Yarrowia lipolytica: one gene and its partner. The protein of the gene in region 2 binds, or shares a complex with, the protein of the main gene of each other region. Links are inferred from orthologs where the notes say so. Each region holds a gene or a part of one and is shown on either strand. Other genes may lie near its edges.

What was found.
Region 1: YALI1_C05264g (region 2) and YALI1_F10633g share a complex: the UniProt entries of both Saccharomyces cerevisiae proteins name them as parts of the M-Pol II complex. The link is inferred for Yarrowia lipolytica from reciprocal best matches to the Saccharomyces cerevisiae genes ANP1 and HOC1.

The regions. Positions count from the first base shown.
Region 1 is NC_090775.1:1,061,333-1,065,220, forward strand, and holds YALI1_F10633g (uncharacterized protein), read right to left. Parts: upstream 1,990-3,888; coding exon 796-1,989; downstream 1-795. Other genes in the region: YALI1_F10616g (uncharacterized protein), read right to left, coding at 1-321; YALI1_F10652g (uncharacterized protein), read right to left, coding at 3,089-3,888. UniProt on the Saccharomyces cerevisiae protein: The M-Pol II complex possesses alpha-1,6-mannosyltransferase activity and is probably involved in the elongation of the mannan backbone of N-linked glycans on cell wall and periplasmic proteins.
Region 2 is NC_090772.1:524,819-528,607, forward strand, and holds YALI1_C05264g (uncharacterized protein), read left to right. Parts: upstream 1-1,607; coding exon 1,608-3,029; downstream 3,030-3,789. Other genes in the region: YALI1_C05252g (uncharacterized protein), read right to left, coding at 1-400. UniProt on the Saccharomyces cerevisiae protein: Involved in the organization of the secretory pathway. Required to maintain a functional Golgi apparatus.

The DNA of each region.
Region 1 (3,888 bases), on a different chromosome or scaffold from region 2:
GTATCCATTCTCGTCCCGGCACTGTTTCTCGCATACCTGGCAGAACCACTTGAGTTTCTGCAGCCCGCGTGACTTCATGCGGTTGGCGATGTATTTCGGAGTTCCAAACTCAGCCTTTCCCATGGTGATAACGGCTGTATACGATGTCTTTGGTGTGGTGTTCAGGGTAAAGATGATTCCGAGCTTTTTCACTTGGCAAAGCTTATGCACGATAACGGTCACGTGGCGAGAGATGTAGGGAAGGCTTCTAGAGGGCAAGCCGGAATGAGAGTCAACTGAATGAGAGTCAACTGAGAGAAGCAATTTGCCACAATAACACATTGTTGAGGTCGGAAAGCTCCTATTAAATCTATCGCATTTGTATGAAATAATGGAGGTTAAATCGTGAGAAAACCAAACAATTCAGATTAATTCACATCCTCCTGATATACGCCATTTTTTACTCTTTCAAATAGCTACTGTATAAAAGGTAGCAATATGAATATCAAAGACCATCCTTTCGTACCAAATGAGACCCTTCATCCACCAATAGAAATTTACAACACTCTCGAGACTCGCTTTTAGCTGTATCTCTGTTCTCAAGTAATATGGAAGAACTCTGTATACTTGTATGTACTGTATGTGTAAGTCGCAATGCCGGGCAAGAATTACTGAGTTGATCGAGGCTTGATCTTGCACAGTTCTGTAAGTTCCCACGGTCGGAACACAGGCTCGCCTCTCCTCCTACTGTTGATTGGAGACTCTCGGACCTTTGCCCTCGAATCTCTCTCACTCTTCCCAAATCTATTATGCTAGCTACTGATTGACCTGCGGCTGGTTCTGGTTCATTCTCTCGTCCTCGGGCTTCCATGAACCGGAAAACAGATGCTTGACAAAGGCCAGCGGGTCGTCTGTATCTTTGGCGCCAAACTGGTCGACACCGGGAGAGAACGACGTCACGGGCAGAACCAACACGTCCGACACGTGCTTGGGGGTCTTGAGGTTGAAAAAGTCCTTGATGCCGACCTGCGACTTGAGTCCCGACTTCTTTCGGTCGTTGAAGTAGTCGAAGACAGAGTCGGTCCACACTCCGGGCCCGGTCCAGTCCATGATCTCGCTGCCATCGGTCTTGTCGCCAGCCATCTCCAGAGTACCACTTCGCTTCTTGGCCAGCGTCTTCTCCACGATTCGGGCCACAATGTCTCGCAGAACGGGGTGACCGGGTTTGGCCTGGATTGTCCACTGGCACAGCTGGATTCGTCGAGCGTACCACTCCTTCCAGTCGGGTCGGTCGGGATCGGCCTCAATACCGACAATCAGACCAACAGTGGAAGGGGAGACCTCATCAGGGATCCAGTTGGGGATGGGCTTGAGGTCCTCAGTGTCGACATCGGAGTAGACACCTCCCCGAGCCAGCAGAACCAGGTAACGGAAGAAGTCGGCCCGCAGAATGTTTTTAGGCATGGCCTTGTACGCCTCCACCACCTCAGGGATCTGAGCATACAGGTGCTGTACAAACATTGCTGCTGCGTCATCGGTCAGCACCTCGTGGACAAAGCTGGGGTTCTTCTCCGTCCAAGTTCGGATCGGCTGTCGGATCGTGTCGGGCGTGTCGTCGGTGATCTCGTCCTTCCACGTCTGCCAGATGAAGGCAGGGAACTTTTTGTACGTCTCGTAGGGGAAGGTGTATGCGAGTTTTTCTCTGAGCGACGCTCCCTGGGGAGGAGTTCGAAGACGTTGGATCTCCTTCTCCAGCACCCGGTTTTCGGTCTCCAGCTCGCTGAGCTTCTTGTTGAACGAATCGAACCGCTTGGCCGCGGCTGCCTCCTGCTCCTTGAGCGCCTTTTCCGTCTCCGCCCGCATCTTGTAGATTTTGTTTTCGAAAGCGGACATATCGCCGGGCAGTAGCACCGTGGGGGCAATTTTTTCACTGGACCCGAAAAACAGGAAGCACACGGTCGCGACCGCGAGCCCCAGCAAAATCACCCGTCGAGCTGTGATGAGAGCCATGGTGTGACGAAGTATCGAGTGGGTGTCGACGTGCGATGTCACTAGAGTTGATGTACGTGTAAAGTTACGCGAGTTTGTGTGTAGCGTGGTGTGTGTGTGTGTGCGTCTTCTCCGAGACAATTAACATGAAGTAACATGCGAGAGATTAACACGATAAGAGGGATTGGATGGCTATTTATATTTTGAGGATGTTGTAGCCACCTCGTTGCATTCATTCTGTCATTAAATCTACTTCAACATGTACTGGTAACTACTTATACCTCTCGCCTACGAATGTTGTATTGCACCCATCTCACGCAAAAGAAACATAAAGGCACACACCGAGAGCAAAAAACGGTTCATAAAAAAAAAAAATTAAGAAAAAAAAAAATAAGAAAAGAAAGTCCGCAGATGCAAAAAGTCGACAGGAATAAAAACTCCCAAAAATAGACCCTCTTCATATATTATAGGTGACAGCGATAAAAAGGCGACATCAATGGGTGCTAGAGACGTGATAGCGACAGGAAAAATAGTTCAATTAAATACCCCAATTGTGAAGATTCTAACGGTATAAACAATATCACATTATTCAAAGTCCATCATCATAAACTAAGCAGCATCACACAGTTAAACCAATAGCGTTCATTTCGCCTGTCCTATTACCTGTGTCTTACAGTGCGTATACAACCTATAACAACTTGTTGTAACATTACAATGTAACGAAACAGATCCCAAAGACCCAAAAACAAGGAGATCATTACTCAGCCATTCAGCCGTTCTATTGCCAAAACAACCTCGGAGCTACAGTACTTGTACGAGTATGACGCAGCCAACAAAGTTGTGCCGCGCCAGCTGGCTGTGCTGCATCATACATGTAGGAACAACTGTTGACTTGTACAGCCTACAAGGAACTAGAAAATAAGGGGTAATGTCACGTGCCCATTGTGTGGTCACGTGATCTCAGCTTTGAATAGATTTGGATCATTTCACTGTGACAATATTGTGCAAGTTCCAACTTATGACATACTGAAAGTGAGTAAGATAACGCTCAACGGTCATTGGTTACACATTACTTGGTTGCTTTGTTGTACTAATATACTGTCTGTATTGGTTCTATTCGTTAATTGATATCGGAAAACAACTTTAAGGCCTCAACAACCACCTCATCCTGCATTCGAGGAGCAATCAACTGGATAGAAAGAGGAGCTCCTTCATACGTCTCGGGAGAATACAACGCCTGCCATTCGGCATCTAGCTTGTTTCGGGGCTTGAAGTCCTCCACAGGCTTGTCGGAAGCCTTGACAGACGAGTAAGGGACTGACACGGAAGTGTAATCCGCCAGATTCCAGTACGCTGTGTATCCCCAGTAGTTGCAAGTTCCAAACTTGAAGGCAGCTCCCGGCAGAACCGGGGTGATGAGCATGTCGATTCCAGCCTTGGTCCACTCGTGCATCAGGTTCCAACGGAAGGTGTCTCGTTGAGTGTGTGCTTTCCAGAGCTCCTCGATGTTGAATCGCTGGACGCTGGGGTTATTTAGAGCCATTTTGCTCATTTCAGTAAGAGATTCTCCAACACTGGACAGCTCTTCTTTGAGCTCTTTTCCTCCGTCGGGGAAGTATAGCGACGAGATGATATGGACGGCTCCAGATGGGTCGTAAGGAGTGAATGGAACCAGTTCGATCTCGACATGCTTGAAGCTCAACTTTTTGATCTTATCAAGGTACTCGTTGACAGCCCGAATGACAGGGGGATGGGGAGTAACGTAGCCGTCGTCAGCGTAGTAGCCCACTCTTAGCTTCTTCTTTTGAAATAGAGCTGGATTCCACATAGACCGTTCAGTGAAGGGGTCGTATCTCCAGACTTCTGCGTCCGACATGACCTTCATGAATAACTCCAGCAGCTTCGGAGATGAAGTCAAGG
Region 2 (3,789 bases):
ATTCGTTCTGGAATGCCTGCAGAAGCGACGGGATGGATGTATATTGTGGCGGCTTGGGTCGTGTGGGCGTGTTGGTGTTAACCTCTAGCAGATCTTCCACCATCAGATCTTCTCCATTGATGGGATCTTTGCCGTTTTCCTGGACATATGTCTCGATGAGCCGGCGCTCGAAGATGTGACCGGACTTGGGCGACAGAACGGGCTCCTGCGCGGGTTCTCCAGAAATCGAGCAGATCATTGTTGTTGAAGCAGTATTATAGTGGTGATAATTAGAGGTGGTTGGTTGCAGGTCGCGGTGTTCGAATCCGGCCAGTGTTCGATTTTGTAGTGGTATTTTACAAGTCGATGTATATGAGTCAACTCTAGTCCAAATAGGCTTCACGGGCACAATAACAGCCATTTACATGAGGTAAATAGAAGAGATATAGGGAGAACAGAGGAGAAAGAGTGGGTGTGAAAAGTCGGAAATTTTTGATGGTCACATAATATACACGCGTACACAAGCCATTCCACAATTGTGGATTGCCCAAAACGAACACAGAAAACGCGCTTCTTGGCCCGCCAAGTAGTCCGTCAGTCCTTCCATGCGCACATCACATGACTGTCAGGTACCAGTACAGCACTGTACGCCTGAAGATGGCCATGGCTGAAAACCTAGGAGCAGTTTAGGAAAGGGAGATTTGCATGATGGACACTAATGAGCGACGGAAAGACGCAGCACGGTCACATGACGAGAGGGAAGTGTCCATAGTACCTGTATCCATCGATTGTAATTACCGGTACAGTACCAGAAGCTGTTGCACCGTATACCGCGTTCCAGGCACGGCTCATTCGTGCATTATTCACCTCACCCTTTAGCTCTGCACATTAACTCTCTTGTGATAGGTGAAGCAAATATAGGGGACAAGAGGAGGGCGCAACATGCTACGCTATGGAGAATATATATGGGCGTTGTATTGAAGGCAAAAAAAGCTCCGTCGAGTCGAGTGAGTCGAACACGAGTTATTCGCAATCGATATGCCCCCGTTTAGTACGCCACGGCCCCTTTATCTGGGCAGTGGAATGGGAGCCATATTTTTTATCGCATTTGACTTTGTATTGATCTTTTTTTTTCCACCCACACTTTTCGTTTTTGGCGCTTCTCCCACCACTCTTGGTGCGGATTTTCTCCCACTCTGACATATAGTAGCGTGGTGGAGACGAGAAGCGCAGTAGATTAAGGGGCGACGGTTTATATATGCGAGGCCACAAAAAGAAGGTAGCTACAGAGACCAACTTGTCCTAAAGCCACGCTATATATATATGCCCTCCTATGGCACTATGACGATATTTGCGTCGCCACGTCACAACCTGTGGACGTGCATGCCAGTGGGTAGAGTTTCAAATTGTCTTTTTTCTGCACGACGCACTTCAACGTCTGGCGACGACACACAAAACACACGATAGTGGTTTGAGGAGATACGGGGGTCAGTGGAAGACAGTTTTTACGCGACCGACACGACGACAAACCAAGCGACAAGACCAAAGAAAAACGCCACACCCAAACTCACACCAAGTTTTCACATCACATACAACTTCTGTCATCCAAACAGACACACAACGTCTCAATGACACTACCAAAATCCAACATGTTTGACCGCAACCAAGGCGGACTGGCCCCGTCGACTCGCAAAACGCTGGGCCTGGTTTCAGTGTTTGGCACAGCATTATATCTATGCCTGAGCATTCTCTCATGGGTATTTTCTGGCGAGCTGGCGCTCGTTCCCTTCACCTCCTCCAGCTTGCCTCCCATGGCCGATCTGGGCATCGACAGCGTGCACCACTACGATCTGGCAGACTACACAGGCAGCGCACGGGGCCAGGACCGCAACGAGCGAGTGCTGTTCCTGGTGCCTCTCAGAGATGCCGCAGCCCACCTGCCCATGCTGTTCGCCCACATGGACAAGATGACATACCCCCACGTGCTGATAGATCTGGCGTTTCTGGTGTCCGATTCCAAGGACGACACCATGGGAGTGTTGCTCAAGGAGCTCAACACGCTGCAGAGCAACCGAGACGTGTCCAAGCGGTTCGGTAGCATTGAGATCTTCGAGAAGGATTTTGGCCAGGCCGTTGGCCAGGGATTTTCTGACCGTCACGGCTTCGAGGCCCAGGGTCCCCGACGAAAGCTCATGGCTCGTGCTCGAAACTGGCTGCTGTCCGTGGCTCTCAGACCCGATCACTCGTGGGTCTACTGGCGAGACGCCGACGTGGAAAAGGTGCCCACTACCATCATGGAGGATCTCATGAGCCACGACAAGGACGTGATTGTGCCCAATGTGTGGCGACCCCTGCCCGACTGGCTGGGCAACGAGCAGCCCTACGATCTCAACTCGTGGAAGGAGTCTGACGCCGGTCTCCGACTGGCTGACACTCTGGACGAAGACGCTGTTATCGTCGAAGGATACGCCGAGTACGCTACCTGGAGACCCCATCTTGCCTACCTGCGAGATCCCTTTGGTGATATTCACGTGGAAATGGAGCTGGACGGTATTGGAGGAGTTTCCATTCTTGCCAAGGCTGCTGTATTCCGACACGGCGCCCATTTCCCCGCATTTTCGTTCCAGAAGCACGCCGAGACCGAGGGGTTCGGCAAAATGTGCAAGCGAATGGGCATGTCTGTGGTTGGTCTTCCCCACTACACCATTTGGCACATTTACGAGCCCTCTGACGACGATCTGCGACACATGGAGTGGATGGCCCAGCAGGACGAGTTGCGGGAGAAGGAGCGAGTCCTCAAGGAGGCCCATGACAAGGTATGGCAGTCGGGCTTTGACAACGTCAAGCAGGAGTGGGAGCGAGAACGAGAGCTGATTCTCAAGAACGTTGAACTGGACTTTGACGTGCATCAAAAGGTTCGGGCCAAAAAGGCGGAGGAGCAGAGCAAGGCCGAAGCCAAGGTTCACGGCCCCGAGGAGGAAAAGGTGGTGCCTGGCGTGGGCAAGGCCGCTCTGCAGCCTGACGCCGTCAAGAAGGTGGTTCAGGGTTAATCAATGCATGTTTGAATAGATATAATTAATCACAGTTAGAAGATGTGGTGTGGTGGTTCAAATTTGTACTGGAATAAAGTGTTTGTGTTTTCTCATCAAGTGCCATACCAGTACAGTAACAAGTATGTACCAGCACAAGTACATGTACTGTACTCGTACTGGACGCTGTGCTGTAAGTTTTTTGCATGTTGAAGATGTGAGGAGCACCAGGAGCGAAACTCCAACTAATATCTAACTTGTAGACATTGCACGAGCAGAAATCCGCTCGGTTCAAATATGGCAAGAAGCAGAAACTGATGAGTTAGATAAGAAGGACTACAAGAAGAATGATATAGGAATAGTTGATACTATTTCTGATCATATTTTATAGTATCAACTATTCCTATTGTGTAATTCAGATCAAAGTGCTTGGTAGTCGACCCCCAACGTGTTCACTACAGTAGCGCTCTCTGGTTAGCATGTCAAACAGAGCTGAATATTTTCCTTCTCTTGAAGAACTTCGAGAATATTGAGAAGGAAGTCAAGATATTACCGCAAAATAACCTGGGTTTTGCTCCGCCCAGGTCTCCATTCTATAAACTACAAAGGATGTCTCGAGGCTGCAAACCAGTGAATGGAACAACACGAACTCGTGCCAGTCGATTGGACAAAGTCACTCTTGTGAACAAGAAATGCCAGATTTAACCCTTCCGAAGTTCAAGACCTACGGCAAAGAGGATCCCGTACATATATTGTCTTGCAAGCGACTTCGTTGCAAGCG